3 linked regions of the Kluyveromyces lactis genome follow. The protein of the gene in region 1 interacts with the protein of each later gene in a pairwise test. Links are inferred from orthologs where the notes say so. Each region holds a gene or a part of one and is shown in the gene's direction. Other genes may lie near its edges. The genes, in order: KLLA0_F03839g, GRX5 and MAM33.

What was found.
Region 2: the proteins of KLLA0_F03839g (region 1) and GRX5 interact in a two-hybrid assay, tested with the Saccharomyces cerevisiae proteins (2 studies listed by BioGRID). The link is inferred for Kluyveromyces lactis from reciprocal best matches to the Saccharomyces cerevisiae genes SLM1 and GRX5.
Region 3: the proteins of KLLA0_F03839g (region 1) and MAM33 interact in a protein complementation assay, tested with the Saccharomyces cerevisiae proteins (2 studies listed by BioGRID). The link is inferred for Kluyveromyces lactis from reciprocal best matches to the Saccharomyces cerevisiae genes SLM1 and MAM33.

Annotation. Positions count from the first base shown.
Region 1 is NC_006042.1:361,164-369,007, reverse strand, and holds KLLA0_F03839g (SLM1 family PH domain-containing protein), read left to right. Parts: upstream 1-3,084; coding exon 3,085-5,031; downstream 5,032-7,844. Other genes in the region: LAP2 (bifunctional aminopeptidase/epoxide hydrolase), read right to left, coding at 1-733; KLLA0_F03861g (uncharacterized protein), read right to left, coding at 1,481-1,891; alpha-1,2-mannosyltransferase ALG11, read right to left, coding at 5,203-6,915; MOB1 (Mob1p), read right to left, coding at 7,271-7,844. UniProt on the Saccharomyces cerevisiae protein: Together with SLM2, acts as an effector of the TORC2- and calcineurin-signaling pathways. Phosphorylated and activated by TORC2 under favorable growth conditions. Mediates actin polarization via inhibition of calcineurin-dependent transcription.
Region 2 is NC_006038.1:832,641-839,142, forward strand, and holds GRX5 (monothiol glutaredoxin GRX5), read left to right. Parts: upstream 1-3,624; coding exon 3,625-4,053; downstream 4,054-6,502. Other genes in the region: SND3 (Snd3p), read right to left, coding at 1-515; glucose-induced degradation complex subunit VID24, read left to right, coding at 1,774-2,775; KLLA0_B09658g (pyridoxine 4-dehydrogenase), read right to left, coding at 5,233-6,261. UniProt on the Saccharomyces cerevisiae protein: Monothiol glutaredoxin involved in mitochondrial iron-sulfur (Fe/S) cluster transfer. Receives 2Fe/2S clusters from scaffold protein ISU1 and mediates their transfer to apoproteins, to the 4Fe/FS cluster biosynthesis machinery, or export from mitochondrion.
Region 3 is NC_006039.1:671,898-678,427, reverse strand, and holds MAM33 (Mam33p), read left to right. Parts: upstream 1-3,502; coding exon 3,503-4,282; downstream 4,283-6,530. Other genes in the region: tyrosine protein phosphatase PTP3, read right to left, coding at 1-1,713; MRX1 (Mrx1p), read right to left, coding at 4,652-6,530. UniProt on the Saccharomyces cerevisiae protein: Not known. Binds to the sorting sequence of cytochrome b2.

The DNA of each region.
Region 1 (7,844 bases):
CACCTGATGCGATACCGATCAAATATGCTGGAATTGGTACTTCTTGCTTGAAAGAGTAGACCTTAGTAGAATCATCGTAACCTGTTTGGATACCCGAAAACACAACTGGTAATTCAGACTTGATGTTGGCGAGATATGTAGATTTTACACTTGGGGTATCAAAACATGTGAATAGACTTCTCGCATGGATGGCTTCCAATTGAGAGAAAACGTACGGTTTCCCAGATGTTTGGTGTTCATCAAGCCATTGCAATGCTGTACAGTCTGCAGTTGTCGAAAATTGTAAGCACAAATGGAATATTTCCGGCAAAGAAGATGGACTAACAATTAACTGAGCACCCAATGGATGTTTTCTTTCTAACAATTTAAACTTCACGTCGTCTTCATCATCCACTTTGACTTTAGAGATCTTCAAGTAAGAAGTATCCAACTTGATAGTGTTTTCATCCTTCTTCACCTTTTCAATCTCGTAAGAGACAGAACCACTAATGGTTTTCTTTTTGAAATCAACGCTAACATCCAACTGTGAATGCTTTACCTTGAAAGACTTGTAATTGGAAAGTGTAGAATAGTCGAATTCCGGAGATTCTTTGGGACGACGTGATTCAAGAACAGGTGGAAGTGGCATTTTTCTCGATATAGGAGAGGTTTGGAAATATCTAACGTTCGATAAAGCTTTAGCGGGTAAAGATTTACAAGCAGCCGAAGTTTTATTGTAAAAATTGAAAAGCATACACTTGGCAGGGATGAGTTTAACGATGCGCCGAAGATGGAACCGCTTGAAAAATTAGGTAAAAGACACACAATTGACTAAATATTGGTCAACCTCAAAACGATCTCTCCAGTAGTTAGATATTAATGAAAAAAAAAAAAAAACACACACACACAATATTAAAACAAAAAGACAGACAAAGCTCTTGTTAAAGTTTCCACAATATAGGGGTAACAGGGGACAAATTAGAGCCAACTGAATTAGCCAGTACGTGCATGCACTTGTTTTCAAAAGAGAAACTCAAAATGGAAGTACAATATAAGAAAGAACGCCAAGATGAATGAGAAGATAGTATGTATTGTGCAATACCGGAGATTTTTTAACATTCGTTCATATTTCAAGAAGCAAAAGCTCAGATTGACACATTTTTTCATGTACCCTTTGTCAATTCATATTGTGTACCGGGTAATAAGTGTTTTTGACACATAGAGTAACCGCATGGGACAAATAAGATGGAATAAATATAAACATGAAATGTTCTCAGATCAAAGTGAGGAAAATTGTCACCACGAGTCTGTGTCAGTTGTATGTTCTTTCATTAAGCTGTATTAAGCGGCTTTAGGATGGAAACAATGACGTTCATTTGTAAGCATTTTCGCACTATAATGCCTTTTATTAAATATGATACTACAGTATGATTCATGGTGCTTAACATGAGACACTGTAACTACTGAGAGAACATCGATTAATGCGATCTATTATATGAAGCTATACGAACTTCTCAAGTATATGTAAAACTATCCAGTTCCATTTCGAGTACCAATCCCAGCCCATTCCGAAAAGGTTCGCGTAGAAATAATATTTGACCATTTCCTGAAACATATTAATCAGCCGGGCAAGTATCAGATGCAGTAGCGTCACTATACAGATAACGAATATGACACATGGCATGAATCTCTCTGAATATATGAACCTCTCTAATTTATTCAAATCAGACCCTACAAATTTTGCTTGTTTGTTCCTTGTGCCTCTGTTACGCAGACGTGCAGTTTTGCTCCTTGAAAACAATCTAGATATCGATGATGTTTTCAAACGTCGCAGCTTAATATTGCCCGCGTTCGTCTTTTGTATCCCATCATACGTATACACCATGGACGCATCTTTGGTGAAATACTGCATTGAGAGATACTCCCACAGTAGCTTTCCAGAGCTATTTTTCTTGAATAATGTTGGAACAGTAACGTTCTGCTCTTGAATTTAAATGATTCGCCGGGGGTACAGTAAAGACTTTGGATATCAGTCCCTTGCCTGCTGATCCGCTGATATGTCAATCACTTGATTCATTACTTTACTCAATTCGAGATTTCAATAGTCATATTGAACGAAACGTAAACAAAATCTGAGAAAGGGAAAACGATATTTCGGTGTCACGTGTCATTAATCGGAAGAGGTAACTGTGTGATCGGAGAAATCGCTCAGAGATCTTGCAGGAACCCCAGTAGCAACAAATACAGTATGCACACAGGTGTTACACACAACACTTCAAAGAGGTGGCTGAAAACATGACAAAGAGCAGAACACAGGTATCCAGTTGAAGAGACGGTTTAGCCGAATAGGACTTCTACTATACCGTCCATTTCGGCCAGTTGATTTCGACGTATGCCACACGTAACAAAAAAAATGCCTATGGATACAAGGAGATTCAGTTGAAGCAGAATATCCTCATCACTCTGTACAGGGCCAAACGTCAATACATGGTAATATATACTACTAAATATCATTCTTCCCACAGATCTATCCTGGACAGTGCCATTGACGTCTTCGTCCTAGCTTTTCACACCCCTTATCTGCAAGCTTTACACCACCAGGATCCACAGCATCCTTTCTCCAACCCCATCCATATGTATTGAACCTTTCTTTATCTCACAGAAGCATCGAATGCAAAAAATGGAAAAAAAAAAAATCATAAGAAAATGCTGTAGTAATCACCAAGTACAGTAATATTTAGAGGAAGTTTTGGGAGCCCAGCTTTAAAAATAACAAAAATTTGAAATTGCAATTAAAATTGAAACTGGGAAGAATTATTTAAGAAATTTTGCAAGGACCTCAAGTTCAGTACAATACTAGGGATTTGTGCTTCCATTTTCCCTTTGTTAAGAAACTGATACGATAGAACGTTAAAGAAAGCGTTTTCTCCTGGCGAGGTATTTTCGGTACTTTGGAGATAATTACGGTTTGAGTAGTTATTAAGGAATAAAGAAGGAGGAGCCCTTTAGCTACAAAAAAAAGAGAAAAGCCGGGCTATCGCAGACTTTATCATCATAATCATCATCATTATAGTTTACTTCTGATTTGTGCTTTCGAGTGATAAGATGTCCAAACAAAACACTATGACTAGCAGTATAGCCGATATGCTTTCGCAAAACCAACACAGTTTGCAGCAATTGCAGCAGCTGCAACAGCAACCATCTAGAAGTTTGACTTCTGCTGATTACAAGAATTTCCAGCAAAGCGGATTGAATGGAACTAGCGCTAACAACAGAGTTTCGGTTGCTGGCCAGACAATTCCTTATCCGACCGATAACATATCTATCGATGTGAACCAACCGCGAGGATCCATGTCAGCGGATGTTGTTGGCGTTCAAGGGAATGCAAATGCAACTGGTCTTGAAGAAGGAATTTCTTTCCCTCAAATGAATTCTTCCAAGAGACAGCAGCAGACGAATTCGTTGACTAGCTCGCATACGCATGTTAGCAGAAACAGGGCTTCATTGCAAAGACATAGGTCCAACGGTCAGGATCCCAGATCTCCTTTGGTGGTATTGATGCCTACTAATGCGAACCCTACAGAAGTTCTCTCTCAGAGATTTGCAGCATGGAGAGGTATTATCAGATCACTTCTTGTATATCTACAAGAAACGGTTTCCATCCAAGATGAAGTTGTAAGACAACATTTGAGATTGCAGCATGCAATTAACTTCCCATTTTTCACCATTGATAGCCAACATCAACCTACCACTCCAGAGGACAAGAACATTCAAAAATTCTTTTTGCCTCTAGGGCACGGATCTATTCAGGATCTACCCACCTTATTTAATCAGTACCATACGCAAATGGTCCATGCAGCATCAAAGGCCTCCAAGGAATTGAGTCAAGATGTGATCCCCAGATTAGAGGATATGAGACGTGATCTATTGGTGAAAATTAAAGAAATTCAATCTTTAGAGTCAGATTTCAAAAATTCATGTAACAAGGAACTTCAGGAAACCAAAATTCGTTTAAAAGCTTTCCAGGAATCGTTGGAAAATTCTAAATACGGATCTGTGAAACAGGATCCTTTCCTAGCGAAGATCCTTTTGGAAAAACAAATCAAGAAACAGTTGACCGAAGAGAATTTCTTGCATGAAGCTTTTAATAATTTACAAACTTCTGGTAGGGAGTTGGAAAAAGTTGTTATGATGGAAATTCAAAACGCTTTGACCAGTTACGCTAAAGTTTTAGGCCAAGAAGCTCAGATAGTGTTTGACGTTTTGATTTCCAAATTGGACACTGGTTTTTTCAATAAAGATCCTGTCTTTGAATGGGAAAACTTTGTCGCTAAGGACCCAAATTTCATCGATCCTAACTTACCAATGAGACGTGTCAAAGACATTGTTTACAAGAACCAAAATGATCCATTCACGTACGAGATTAAATCTGGAATTCTCGAAAGAAGATCCAAATTCTTGAAATCATATTCTCGTGGGTTCTATGTCTTAACTCCAAGTTTCTTGCATGAGTTTAAATCCGGTGATAGGAAGAAAGACTTGATTCCCGTAATATCGTTGTCTTTGAATGACTGTACTGTTGCAGAACATTCCAAGAAAGGATCTTCAGACTTTAAGTTTATATTGCATACAAAACAAAACGGGATTATCCACAGAGGTCATAATTGGGTTTTCAGAACAGATTCTTACGAATCTATGATGGACTGGTTCAACAATATTAAACAGCTAACTTCTACCTCCAATCCTGTGGAAAAAGCTAGATTTGTCACAGAAAAATTGAACTTGGATGGCTCACATAATAAATCGGTATTGACACACTCTACACCACAAGGCAACCAAGCAGCCAGAGCTAGTGTTGACAACAATGACTCGATTCTGGCAACCCCAAGGACAGAAAACGAGATACACGCTTTTTCTGAAACTACAGGTAACACCACTTTGAACAACTCTAATATCGAGCCAATGAACAAAGCATCGCAGTTTTTAACCCCTAAAAATCCTCGTAAATCAGGCCAATATTCATTAGAAAATTCTGCCAAGAATAACGTGTAGTAATCTCGCCAAAATGGCACCATGTCACCTCTCTCTGCTAATACTTCCGAAACAAAATTGTAACAAGTATGATGTCATGTTTTCAAAGCAAGTGCATATACGAACTGATATCGAAACATCTATAGCTTTACTTCATTGTCTAAGTAATGTAACAATTTATATAATTCAAATTCAACTGAACATTCTATTATGAGTCAAATTGAGTTCCTCCAACACCTCGTTCCATGAACGTTCAAACTCTGAATCAGAAAATTTTGATAAAGAGCACATCTTGGCTCTATTTGAGATATCAATTCTTTGTACAGTATTCAATTTCGATACCTGAGCAAATAACGTGCGTAAAGAACTATACTTTGAAGAATCTTTGGCTAGAAAATCCGGATCAGTTTCATCGATGAAGAAAAAGCCGGTTTCATTAGCTTTGTCAGTACTTTGTTCATTCTTCTTTGAATCCCATGGCACTACAATATCATAAAGAGGTCCAGCAGAAGCATGACATAATGGGATCAAACCACTTGCCATATATTCCACGACAGCTATACCAAAATGCTCATTCCACATTGCGTTTATACCAAACCATGAAGAATATAATATACTCTTCATATCATCATATTTACAATCAGTTTTGAAATCCACTAAATGGGTTGGAATTTTAAGTGCCTCAAAGGCATACTTCTTCAGCGTTTCAACATATTCCCTATCCTCTACGTTTCTTGTTGATCCTATAAATATTATTTTAGGAATCAAATCTTTCTTAGTCGTAGCATCGATGAAAGAAGAGAAGGAAGATAATATCAATTCGTGTCTTTTTTCTGGTCTAAACTGCGCAATAACAACCGCTTGATTTAGTCTTTTAACTGGATCTGATTTGTCACAGCCTTCTATCAATGATTCTGTGGAACATGGTGGATAAATAATGTGAATATTTTTTGTTGAGGACCAGATGGATTTAATATGATTATAAGTCCAAGTTGAATTAGTCGATGCAATTTCAACAAATAAGCCTGAAAATTTGTATGCGAGCATGAATATTTTCCAGTAGACATATTTACCGATCAGTTTAAAGTTTGTGTGAAATCCTGGCATAGTTTTTAGCTTTTGTAGCATATCTGTTGAGATGACAGGATAATGGGTATACGTTACAATTGGAATCCTAGCAAACAAAGATACAAAGGGATAAGCAAAAGGATATCCCATTGTATCTATCCAATAATCTGGAGCAAGTGTAGTAAGCGCTTCAATGGACAAAATGATGGAACCATAAGCTTGGCCTAATAGCGTAAATTTCGGCCAACTTTTTGATTCTACCAGTCTTCTCTTCTGTAGGAAAATGAATACTATTCTGTCCGAATCTAGATCGTATTCAAACCTTCTCCGCACACTGTTCAATATATCTGATCCATTAACATCTGTGTCTCCGGTATAGATAACGCATATATTGTTTTTATCCTGATTTAGCGATGTCTCAACGGCTTTCCACAAGACTTTCTCTCCACCACCACCAGCGTTACAGTAAGGATGGAAAAACCCTAAGAGTTTACGCTTTGAATCAAAACCCAACTTATTAACGAATGACTCTCTCTTTATTCTATCATTGTATGCTATATGAACCCTATCGCCATATATTTTGTTTGTATAATCCGATGGCCTTTCAGAAGCTAAAATAAAGGCTCTTCTAACAGAGGAGTTCTTCCAACCAAAATCCAGCACAGGAATCCTGTTCAAATTGTTTGAGCATTTTAGAAGTGAGTTATTAACACGTAACCTTACTTTCGCTGGTAGAGTTACTAGCAAACTTGGTATGAAGGATGACAATACTTTCAATGTAACCAATCCTGCGAGTAAGCTGCCGAACACGTACGTGACAAAATCAGCCAGCTTCATTGTTTGTATATCAATTGAAAAGTAGCCCAGGACACGCGGCTGACTTGTTTAACTCGTAACTAACGTTCGCTAATATATTTATATCAGGACATTAAGGCAAGATTTTCATATATTGTACCTCATCTTTTATGTGTAAAATAAGATTGTTCACAATCTGAGTTTCCTTATCGTTGAAACTGAACCGGAGTTATCCGCATAGACACGACAGATCTTAAAATAAGAGAGACTATAAAAAGGAAGGCGGGTGATGCTTATACAAAATATGTATATGTTACCTACGAATGTGGATTTGATGAACCATCATTTCAAGTGCTATTTTCATTTGATTTTGAACGGTTTAAATGGGAATTCGTTCTCACCTATCTTTAAATTCAATTACAAGTTCAAGCAAAGGCCCATAGTCGTTAGTCTTTAAGATGTGGAATTCTTCTGAGAACAGACAGACATGTCTGAAACTTGTATTGAGAACTGTTTGTAGATTGAGTTCTAAAATTTCGTTGAAATGATGACAGTAGATATGGGCGTAAACTCTAAATAGCCTTTTCAAGATAGGTCTTGCGATAGAGTCTTTGAAATCTTTTGGGAATGGGGCACCTGGTTTGCTTGGGAAATATGATTCATCATCAAACTGCTGTTGACACCATCTGATAAGATAATCGACGTATTTAGGTGCCGGTAACGATATAGGAGGTTTCCCAGGATGGACGTTCCATAGGTATTCGTATTCGTTAGTGGCTATCATTCTTGGACATGTTTGTGGGGAACAAAATTCCGTGATGGACCCATATAACATATTGATTTGGTTGTAGAAATCGACACAGTGTACAGCAATCCATTCGTCGATATTTTCGCCCTTAGGTAATTTAACAGCCTGGTTTAAAACACCTTTGGACCCCAAAGTGGTCTCCACGATCTGTCTTAAGTCCTGA
Region 2 (6,502 bases), on another chromosome or scaffold:
TCAGTCTTTGGTTCACTGGCACCACCGGCACCACCGAACAAAGATGGAGTCTTGAAAGGTCTCTTCAAATCACCAGAAGCTGGTTTTCCGAACAAATGAATTTGAACTTCGTTATGTTCCAAAGCGGACTTGATTGGTGAGATGGTTTGCATGAACAATGGGTTGGTGTATTTCATGTACAAATGCATGAAACCCATCATAGCCAAACCAGTGTAGATGGATTTAATGGCAGAATCAATCTGTTGTAAATCGTAATCACGAACGGTAGTGACTTCCAATTTTTTCTCGGTTTGACCACCCAATGGGTTAGCTGGAGCCACGTATTTCAAAGTGGCCAAATCGTTCTTCTTAACGATTTGAGCTCTAGCGTATTGGTAGATGGACCAAGTGATGGCAACAGAAGCGACATAAGCGATACGGATGTACAACACGATCGAAGGATCCTCCATATCCAAACGACGAGATACTTGCATCATGATCAACATGATGACTAGGTTACTGATTTGAGCATTCATGGTGGTGGTTAGAGAGTTACAGCTGGGATTGGCTTGGTAAGAAAGAGCACTTCTCTTCTAACTATGAATTGCTTATCGACGGCAGATTCCAGTGGACAAAGGACAACTAACTAACTAATTATTAGAAAAGGCATACATAAATCAGTAAGTATATAAAGTTGAAAAAGAGTAGTTCCGATAATACGTGCAACAAGTAGTAGTGCATCATTTAATAGATACGTATGTGAAAAGATGGTATACAGATTTTATTTTAAATTCCAGTCTGAATGTGGAAGAAGTGACGAGAAAATCTTTTGACGATGAGAGAGATACCCATTGTGTTACCCGGAATAACGTTGAACGGTGGCGAAAATACAAATATAGCAAATATACATATATCCGGGTAACATAAGCGGGCGCGTTATAACAGTAATCACGTGACTAGAAGAGCCACACTTTTTTGACAGCATACACCGAGCGTAGAGAAAGAAAGAGTTAGCTGCGCTAAGTTGTTACCCGCACCTCGGAACAAACCGGATCGGGCTATGTCTGTGAATGTTCCTTTCCCCTGTAGCAACATTCTCTCGTATTTCTTTTTGTGAACTTTGGTCCTTCTTTGATTCTTCCTCCGCCATTTCGTTGGGTACCTCTCTGTTCCAACTTGGTGCCGGAAAAAAAGAAAATCCAAAACGAAAGGTTTTTCCGGGTATTTTGCCCAGAAACCGGTGCACAGTCTCTTCGATATTTCCCCCCGTTTCTTTTCCTTCAACACCAGACTCGCACCTCGATCATAATTCACTCCTGAACACATTTACTCTCTTTTTACTTTTTTCCATTATGTGTCACTCCTTTCACCTATGCAGCCATTTTACTTCTGTCTCTGCCTTGTTCATTGGTTTTTCCCAGTCCAGTTGATAGGATAGAGTCATGGTTGGAACTGGAAATCTTCCTCTTCCGCGTGTTTCATTGTCGGTTTCTTTGCCGTGTTTTATTTCTTTTCCTTTTATCTCTTTTTCTTATTTCTTTATCGATGTCGATCTGGTCTTCGCTTTTTAAAGGTGGCCTGGTGATGCTTTTTATATTACCTTCTTGATTGAGATAGTTATTATTATTATTATTACTATATATATGTATATATACCGAGTGGTTATTGTTGGACGTATTAATCTGTTCGCTGCTTCATCGCAGATTGCCTTTGTCAAGTGAGTTAGTTACTTGCTTTAGAAAACTAGTTACAACTTACAAGTTGTAAGGCAAGATACATTCATACATTTTACAGATGATCAACGAAGATACACGTTCGCATAGCTCTGGGTTGGAGACGCAACTCGCCAAGGCGAGTAGCTCGTCTCCATATAAGGGTCAGGGTCAGACCCAGGAACAACAGCAACAGCAACAGCAACAGCAAAAACAGCAATCACCTATAGCATTCCCTGCGCCTTTGACTCCTTTTTTCCATAGAAACCCATATTTCAGGAACACTTCGCTGCACAGAACTGGGTCTCACGATTCTATCAATTCGATACGGCGTTCGCATGAAAACTTTCAAGATTCGGAGGATTACGATATCCAGGACTCATGCTCACCATCTTTGAACTCGCCTCCTAGATCGAGACCTCAGACTCCCAAGAACCACGAAAGAACTCATTGGCTAGGGGCTAGAAAACGGTTTGTTGGGTACCAACTCTCGGGATACAAGAAGTTCCAAGTCATGATCACTATCCAATCTGTTTCTTTACCAAATGATAACGAATCCAACTGTTGCTCGCCTCATTTGACTGGATTCCTCTCTATAAAGGGTCTCACGGTACAAAATCCCGAGATCACCACTTTCTTCGAATCCATCACCGTAACGGATTCTCTAGGGTTTCTATCCAAAGATATCCCAATAGATTATGCGTCCTATAAGGCCTCGGACCAGACTGATTTGGAGCATTGGTTGAATTTCCCATCTTTCAAAGAACTTTGCATGCAAAACGATCCAAAGTATCCTTCTAAGAATATTCTACAATCTATCATCGATGGTACTTACTCACATACCGATTACTTGAATCAAAGGTTCCTTTACATGAGGTGGAATGAGAAATTCCTGGTGCCTGATGCCGATTTGGAATCAATAGATGGTGCATCTTACGACGGCTACTACTACATAGTACACGATCAATTACTTGGTAACATTCTGGGGTTCTACTACCATGAACATGCTGAAAGATTTCAACAGTTAGAATTGCAACCTTTACAAGAACCATCAATCGGAGATTGTTCATTCGAATTTGCATAATTAAATGACATTAAAATAAATAAAACCACATCTTTCATGGGGTGTTTTATTTTCATTCTTTTTTTCTGTCTCTTCTAATTTACCAAGTTCCTTGCTCCACTCATTTACTTCAAATTTCAGTTCAAGTTTACTTCTACACCACATTACATTAATTCAGTTAATATTCTAATACCAATTTACGCTTTCACTTTTCATTTCTACCTAATCACGTCTCTAATGTCATATAAATAATGGGATATACATCGTTACAATTTACTGCTCGATTTGTTTCTCCTAGAAACCGAACGTCATGAAAAAAAAAAAAGAGGCCCTCGATGAGGATGAAGAAGGGGCAAAAAAATAACAGCTCGCACTCAGGATCGAACTAAGGACCAACAGATTTGCAATCTGCTGCGCTACCACTGCGCCATACGAGCTGGTTTCTTGCACAAATGTTTTACTTTCAGTTCATATCGGGATTTGTGAACCATTGCAAAGAACCATGTCACGTGCTGCTTACTCATCACAGTCTTTATTCACCTTAAACTTGGCCTCCAAACATTCTGAATATCTAACGATTCTTCTTTGATGCCAAAGTAATTCAAGGTTACCCACTCCATTCACTGAATTCATAGTTTTGTACTGTCTTCTCAACTCGTCTTTCAGTTTTTTGCCCTCTATCCTCTTAGTCACTCGGCTTAAACATTTCGGAAACTTTATAATTCGATATTTCACTTCTAACCAACATATAAAGAAATACTGAAATACTGAACTGCGATACTCCTTCCAACGTTTGATTGATATTTTTTCAAGCCCAGTAAACTAGCCTCACAGTTAAAATCGCTTCGCTCAGGTTTTCCAATACCAACAATGTTCTCAAGATTTTTGGCCACTAAGAGTCCGCTCCTACGTCCTGCTTTCAGATCACATCTAAGTTTCCAAAGATTCATATCACAAGAGACAAAGAAAGCTATTGAAGATGCTATTGAATCAGCACCGGTGGTTTTATTCATGAAGGGCACTCCAGAATTCCCACAATGTGGATTCTCTAGAGCTACAATCAATATGTTAGGTCAACAAGGTGTCGATCCAGTGAAGTTTGCTGCTTACAATGTACTTGAAGACCCTGAGTTACGTGAAGGTATCAAGGAAATCTCCGAATGGCCAACCATCCCACAACTATACGTTAACAAGGAATTTGTCGGTGGATGTGACATTGTGATGAACATGGCTCAAACGGGTGAATTAGCTAAACTGTTGGAAGAGTCCGATGCTTTGGTCCCAGAAGAAGAAGATTAAGTACATTTCACTCGGCGCAACTCTGGCTGCAAAAAACTATGTATGTCTATAACAAGCTGCAATATTTATAATTGATTTTATGAGGAAATATGATCTTATGCCTTTAGACTTGTGAATAATGGACACTGTATTCACAAACTCCGCTCTTTTGAAGTTAAGATCTTAAAATTTGGTGGCAGTTGTAAATTTCTGTCACCAAATTCGTGCAAGTTTGTTCTTCGTCTTGTGTGAAAGTGAATTCACATTGAAAAATCGTAAACGTTTTCAAAGAAAATGTCTAATGCATGTAACGCCCTCAGTCGGAAGTACTTAAACAATCCAGTCGAACACATTACTGCACCGCCAGTGATGGACATAAAGAAAAATGCACATCAGGCACGACAAGTTCCCGTTTACGTGAAATCACTCAAATAAAGAAAGACGATGGTTCGGTAGAACCTAGAGAAAAAGTATCGTTCATAGAAGTCTCGCTGCTGAGCTGGGTCCTTTTTTATGATCTTTTTACTGATCACATGAACAGTCTAACTTCGAGCTTCTCAGCCTTGAAAAACTGAGCAAGACTGCCTTCGTAGTAGCATCCCATCTCATAACGTACACTTCCTCTGGCTATATACTAAAACACAATGAGAAAAATGCTCTGTTTACCAACTCTGATAGACCATTACCATAATGACAAAACGGAATAATGATCCATTGAGACTTATGTGGTAATTTTATACTTTTGATCTATGTTCATTATCGTAACTTCAAGGAGATAGTGTATAGATAACTCACCAGAAGCCAGTATGATAGTCAGAGATGAACATCAGTTGTTATCTTGGGCCATAAGACCAAATTGATACCAATTTTACCAGACTTCAATACTTCAAATGATTAAAGTAAATGTGAAAGAAGTATTGTTAACTTTGAATTTTTTTACCTATTTTAATAATTTTTCCATTCTTTTCTACTAGTATTATTTCAGTGTCAGTGGAAATGACAGAAACATATGACAGAAACTGAAATAAAATAGAACGCTCTATAGTTGGTTGCTGATCCTATGTCATGGCGATATCATTGGCATACCTGCTTTCTTAGAATATGATAACATTTTTTTTATATTTGTTTGGATATATTCAGCTACACTGGTACGTGACATATTGACAAGTTCGTAAAATCATGGAATCATTAACATAATATCTAACGAATCATCTCGTATCTTCCACCGACAGTTTTGAAAGATTGTAAAAATTTGTCAATCTTTGCTAGTTCCTCGTCAGATAATTCTATGAAACTATAATTAGAGGTTACCTTGTCCACAGTTGTTCCTGAGGGAATAGGAATAATTTTAGTATTTGGATAGTTCTTACTGATAGCCCGGATCCATCCGATTGCTACTTGTGGTAAAGTGACGTTATCAGATCTTTTAGCGATAATTTCGTTCTCTAAAAATTCGACTAAAGACTTGTTGTGAGCGAACGCGTCATCTTGGAATCTCTTCAATTGAATTCTGAAATCACCTGCTGGGATATCAGAGCTCTTGGCCAAAGCACCAGTTAGCAAACCTCTACCCAATGGAGAGTAGGCAACAATTGGCAACCCTAGTTCGTTACAAGTGTCGACAATACCGTTCGAGAGAATTTCAGCAGAAAACATGGACAATTCGACTTCAACACAGACTAAATATTCACCATACTCCTTGTGAATGGCTCTGATTTGTTCAGCGGTTACTTCACTCAATGAAATACCACCAATTTTACCCTTCTTGACGTATTCAACGATGGTGTCAAATGTTTCACGAGGGAAAACCGATTCACCAGTCTTCTTTATAAGTTCAAGGTCCAATCTTGCTGGCTCATAGATGTCCACATACCCATTGAACACTTTAAGAGTGTTTTCGATAGATGCGCTAACACTCTTAGCATCACCGGCTGGGCTCAAGGTTTGCAAGTCAACAGCACCTTTAGCACTGATAATTACCTTTTCACGATCTTCCGGATACTTGTCAAAGTAGGATTGCAACAACTTGTAGTTGCTCAAAGGTTCACCGTAGAATTCACCAACATTGAACAACGCCTTTTTATCACCAGTAAATTCAAGAACTTTCTTGAAGGTTTTGGACGCAGCTTCTGGGGCAATAGGTTCTGCTCTCCAGGTGAAACTCATCAAACCATATCCTAGGGCTACGTTATTAAGCAATTGAGAACGGTAGTCGCTTGGAGATGGCATGCTTTTCTATTATTCGATGTACTAAAAACTTTGGTGGATAATCAATTGACTGCAATGCTACACTGAACACTAACTATTGATATTCCTTACTGTTTAAACCTTTAATTGAAAGAAATAGGAAGCTTTTAATTAAGATGAGATGAAATTTAGGGGAATGGAGATGAAATATGTAAAATGCCGCATTTATATACGTTGGAGCGTACCATTAACACACATATAAAAAACATTATTCATATAAGAA
Region 3 (6,530 bases), on another chromosome or scaffold:
CTCTTCAGCATCATCCTCATCAACATCATAATGACCATCTTCGACACATCTGTCGTTACCAGCTACAGTAGACCGAGATTGAGTGCTGACAATTGAAGCGGACGATGAGGGGCCCAATAATCTCTGAAGTCTTTTTCTTTCTAATAACTCCAATCTTTGGAACTTAGATATAAAGTGCAGTTTTGGAATGTCCATTAATTGGCAGAACCAGGAAGGAACTACCTGATTGATCTCCTCTGAAGCAAATCTGTGGTATAGGTTATCATATTTAACTTGGAAATTTAGTTTAGATGAATTGTGGCCACTAGAAGGATCTGCTGGCGATAATGCTGTTTGAGTTGAAGTAAATGATGACGAAGTCGCATCGGTACTGAACTGTTTGGACGGTGAAGCAGGAAATTTGAAGGATCTTAGGTCATTTTCTGATTCTAAGAAAGAATTTCTTTGAGAGCGTTCATTGATCTCTACGGCCTTCACATAATTATCTAGATCGGAAATGTCATGCTCAATCTGCGGTAACTTAAAAGTTGGTAAATGTTGATTATTTATCGGTGCCGGCAGTTTAAATCCAAACAAAGATGATAATGGTGATGATGTGGATATTGGGGAACCAGATAGAGTCCTACTGTTACCGGTTTGTGGTGGCTGTTTCAAAGGAGAACAAGAATGCGAATGAGATCTACCAGAGTGTTTCAACTGCGGTTGAACTGGAGAAATATTGTCTGCCTGATGAGGGGAAGATGGGGAATCTAAGGTATAAGAGTCTTCCAAATCCATGGTACCAACTTCGACGTCATCAGGATATGCTGCATTAAATGATTCAAAACCTTCTGCGAGAATGAAAACAGAAGGCTTTTGTTTGTCACTTACATGATCGAGGATCTTAGAAGATATTCCGAAACATGCCAATGATACTGCATAATCTGTCTGGTTTGCCACATTATCGTAAATAACCACCTTGGCATTTGCAGTGGCGCTGTCACTGCCCAATAAATATTCCGATAAAGTTTCCCTTCCTGGGGAAGGTAGATTACCTATCAACCTTTCCAGATTGAAGTTTTTCCTTTTCAGTAAAGTCGAGGGAAGACACAAGTGCATTGCCGATCTGATGTGATTTTTGTTGAACTCTATGAACGGCCTTGTATCGAATATTATCAGTTTTTCATTGGGATTCTGGTCCATATTTTCAATATAATGGTGCAAGTCCGCAGGGCTAATAAACGAGCAGTCTTTATGTTTAGGAAATCGGAGATCTTTTGGACATATTGTTGGAATAGCGGGCAAGCTATTGGACTTCATTGCTATGCTCCGCGATCTACTCCGTGAAAACGAAAGGGAACTTCTATGAGATGCTGACAACGGTGAAGGTGTACATGTACTATACGAAGGTTCAGATGCTGAAGGGAAAGTCGACGCATGTATCAGAATCTTTTCGGGCAGTACCTCCGTTGAATTTCTTTTGTAATTTGCGCTCAGGGCAGGAGATGCTAACGATGAATTCGACGATTTATCATCGATCAAAGTGGATGACGAACTTAGAACTGATGAACTTTCCGATGTGAATGAGCTGCTCTGAATTGAATCACGATCTTTATACTCTGTACATCCAGATATCGATGGTGGTCTAGCGAGAGGCCTTGAAAACGAAAGAGGTTCTTTGAGTTGGATTTCTTCCTGTTGTTTGTTGGTGCCCATCGTGTCTATATACTCCATTTCTCTTCGAAATTATAAATAGATTAGATTTGACACCCTATTACTAACAAAGTACTTTCTTTCTGTATGCTTAATTTGACAGTTTTGTCTTGGTATAGGTTCTTATTTGGTGTCTTCGTTAAAGCAGTGATTCGAACAAAGTTAAAAGATAGCTGAAGATGTTGGAAGCTGTTCTATTTGGTTCAATAATGCACTAGACCTAGAAATTACGAATTAGAAAACACTTGACCGAAAAGAAAAGAAATTCTAAAAAAGATATTGAGAAGAGGATTGCATAAGGATACACAGATGCATGCATTCGAGAAACATATCCAATGGAAAAAAAAACAACAACAACAACAATTAGCACGCACATCCACGTGATATACGGTCGAATTACATAAATGCATATGTGATATAGTAATGCCCACTTCGTTGGTTGAACCAGACACCTTGCTACTTAATTAGATTACTTTTCATCTGTAGGAAATTACCTGAAAAGACACCTTATGTAGGCAGAAAGGTACTGAAAACAAAGGACTCAGAAAAATATGCGATAAATCTTCTAAACTATTTACACCCTCATGCCGATTGCAATTTTACCAAGCAATACTCATCTCTTGTTGAATAAGAACCGCAAATTGTCAAGACATGTTACAAGGATATCACGGATGAAGAAGCAGTTTCTATGGTTAATTACGACACTCTGTTGCTTTGTGAAATGTATGAACAAAAAAAAAGACACAAATCTAGAAATCAACAGTAGAGCCGAAAGAACGGTATAATAAGGACCGAAAAATATGCTAATAGTCAAAAGATCTAGATCCCCTGGGTACTAGTCTGAGAGTATGTTCTTGGACTTGTACTCTTCAACTTGTGAAAAGTAGTTTAATAGAAGAATTGCAGATGGCTGCATAACACACCACAGCAAAATCCTGGGAATAAATTTCAATCATGAGCATAATCATAGATGGGGCTCTTTTGCGCAGTAAATTACGTCGTTACAATTATTTGCAACTGGCTTTTTTTTCTTTCTTAGAACTGACAATGAATGTTGTCCTCCGTGCTCTTGCAAAAACGAACACGAATTTTCTCGGGAAAACCAAGGCGTTGATCATTGTTCCGGTTCGAGACTACGGTCGAAACGGACATTACCTCTCTGCCCTAAACACACTCTGATCAGTAAACGTTCATTTGTCAAATAGTAATGCGAGAGTTACCATGGGACTAAGGCTCGAAAAATTTCGTACTTTTGATCCAGAATGTTAGCACGGAAAGCAGTGACCAAAACGGTTCGAAAGTTCGCTTCCCTCACAAAAGAAAAGAATTTTCAATAGAAATGGACTCGGGTCTCGAACATCTTTCTGCAAGCTGAAACGAAGAAATTAACGTAGTGAAATAACTCGGAAACTAAAGGCTACCACTACTCACAAAACGAAAAGCGAAAATTACGTACGCCTAGAAGTCAACGCACTGTATCTGTACCAGGGTCCGCCCTTAGAACTGTTCGAGCAATTTGTACCCGGATGGCGTCTTTACCTCTTTTATTGGCTTGTTTACACTTTACTCATTCACGTGACGCTGAACGTGCGGGTAAATATGAAAAGGGCATCCACCTCATTACCCTGATATACTTTCTTTTTGCCACACTCTAGGATCGAGAGCTGAAAGGAAAAAGAATTCTGGAAAGATTATAAGCTCTTATATTGAACTGTGATATTTCAAGCGATGAGCTAGCTTATTTGATCCAAATTTAAGGGTTAAAACAAACCAGTCCTATAGGATAAGCCCCCTCCCCTGATAGAATACTATGTCCCTACGTTTGATTACCCGTGTTGCCTCCCGTGTTGCTGCTCGTCCAGCTTCCATCCAGGTGGCCAGAAATGTGATTGCTCGTCCAACCTTTATCACATCTTCCCGTCAACTCTCCTATACTGCTACCACTTTCAACCAACATACTACGAAGGTTGCTCAAGTTTTAAACAGCGAAGTCGAATTAGAAACTTCTCAACAAATTGTCGACTTGCCAGAAGAATTGGCTACTTTCCTGTCCAAGTACGGTTTTGAGCCTGTCGTTCAAGAAGGCCGTAACTTGGCTCACATTAGAAGACAATTGAACGATGAAACTATCAATGTCTTCTTTGACGTTGCTCAAGTTGCTAACTTGCCTGTCGAACCAGCTGCTTTAGAACAATCTGAAGAACAATTGGAGGAAGATTTCGATAGTATGTCTGATAACTTTGCCAATGTCAACATTGTCGTTGTGAAGAACTCCGACAACACAGCAATTTCATTTGAGCTTTTGATGAACATGCAAGAAGGTTCTTTCTACGTCGATTCCGTTACCCCATACGAATCAGCAGAAGATGCTTTGAATGAATCAGCAGAAGCCGAAATCAAGAGAGAATTGGGATACCACGGTCCTCCATTCTCTAACTTGGATGAATCTTTGCAAGAGTCCTTGGAATCTTACTTGGAATCCAGAGGTATCACCACCGATTTAACTTCATTCATTTCTAATTACTCTGAGTTCAAGGAGAATAATGAATACATTCAATGGTTGTCGAAAATGAAGAAGTTCTTCGAGTAATTGCAACAATAACTCTTTTTCAATATGACTAAAGACAGAAGTATTTGTTCATTCAAAAACAATTCTGCCTCTTGGTGGTTTTACTTCACTACTGATCACTGAGCTTTATGATCCCTCTATCAACATTTCTCTTGTATATACATAATTTTTCTCTTACCTTTTTTATTATGGATTTTTAAGGCAAATTTGTACATTATATATCGCTCTATGTAATATCTGTTATAATGTACCTATCGTCTTTTCCATTGGTACCTTTGATTATTACACCGTTTGCAATAGTTTAATTATTGAAATGCAGAGCCAGCAAAAGACAAGCCTCCAAGTGAGATGCCTTTTTCATTGGTTTAGTATGTACAGGAGGCATCTCAATTATGTTGGTGAAAAGTCATCAATGTTGGTGTCCAATATTGTTTCACAATATTGTCTAAACAATTTTTCGATTTCGGGGCTGTTAGAATCCCTATCATGTTCTAGGTTATCCACAACCTCTAGGATTCTCTTTCTTAATCTTATTAGATGCCTACGAAACAAAAATTTTCTTTTAAGTAAAGAATTTGAATCTTCCGCTTCAGCTTGCACTTCCTTTAGTTCTTCATCGGTTAAATTCAAAGATGATTCCAATGATTTTATAAAACGTACAGCTTCAAGATAAACAAAACGCATACTCTCTCGAGTGCTTCCTCTCTGCTTCAACAACATTACTGGATCACAGAGCATTGTGGTAATGAACTCGTCTATTATCGTTTTCTTGAAAGTCAAAGGTAACGCGTCTTTGCATGACATAACAATTCTCAATAAGAACATCCATGGTTTCCAGGATAAATAGCTCTTGTACTCATCATTTTGAATCGAAGTCTTTGCTTCATTGTCCTTCATAAGTGCAAGACATGATTTTACAAGTTCTGTCGCCTTTACAGGATCACTGTTGTTTAGCTTTTTAGTAGCCTGTCTTTCAAATGCTTTATAAGTTAAAACGACGTGCTGTAAGGGTTCCCGCAACATACCATCATCCATCATCTTACGAAGTAGCTCATAACATCTCTCTCCACAGTTCTCCGGATCTGCTTTGATAATTAAGTTCAACGCAGCGTTTATTGTTCTGTTGTTGAAAAGGTTTGGTCTTTTTCCCAGGTAATGCTCGAAGAAAGCGATACCATATTCGTATTGTCCGGTCTTAAAGCAATTTTCCATTAAAAGATGTGCAACATGGGGAGTCAAACGCATTTTAGATTTGATATTCCAATTCTTCAAAGCAGGCAACTTGACAAATTCTGGTATTTCTTTCTTGAAACGAACATTTGGGACCTTAAAATCATAGAATATATCAAGCAGAGGCAACACACAATTGGAAAATCGTAGATCCCTTCTAGAGTGCCAAACGTTCAAATAATGAAAAAACATTTGTGAATCGATAACTTTGGGGTCAGCAGAGTTCATTATATCATCAGCCCTTTGAATGGCTTCCACTGCATCTGTAATCTTCGCACATCCAATAAGTAGTTGCGTGTACGCAATTGCATCTTTTTTTATACCTTTGGGTCTCAAATCAAAACATTTGAACAGGTAACTAGGGTCGTTAGAGTTCGCCAACGCACTTAATGCAGCGTTAAAATTTATATTATTGAGTCTTTCATCTTCAACCAATTTTAAAACTATCTTCACCACTCGTTCTGCAACTTTGACAGAAATTGGTTCTGGCAACCTTGCCAACCCTTTGAACAAATTTGTTTCAGTGTATTCATTGGGAGGTATTTGCCACTTCTTTCTCCAAGAATATAAATCCACAGCGGAATGGCTATCTTTTTCAACTTCTAGATAATGTGTCATTAATGTGTTCATTCCAGCTGCACCATTTGGTCCAGCAAGCTTTATAAGAAATAAAGCCTTTTGCAACTGGCCTCTCTTACAAAATTTCGCAACATCGCGTTCCACCAATATTGAATTTTTTAGTTGAGGTCTAGATATACCTAGTATAGTATACATTAATCTTTTATCGTTAGCGACAGAAAGAATGCTCGTATCATCGTCCGAAGTTGGTCCTACTTTGATAGACTTATCAAGATTAGTAATTTTGTGTCTCCCTTTTAAGATTTCATTCGCTTTCTTAATGGAATATCCGTACTTCCGAGCTTTGCGTGCTTCCCTTCGAGCGATATCCCTCTGCTTTCCATTTTCCTTCTCTGTTCGCTTCACAAGTGTCTGTGTCTTCTGCAGAAGGTCCAACTTAACCTTCAACGGTGAGCCGTAA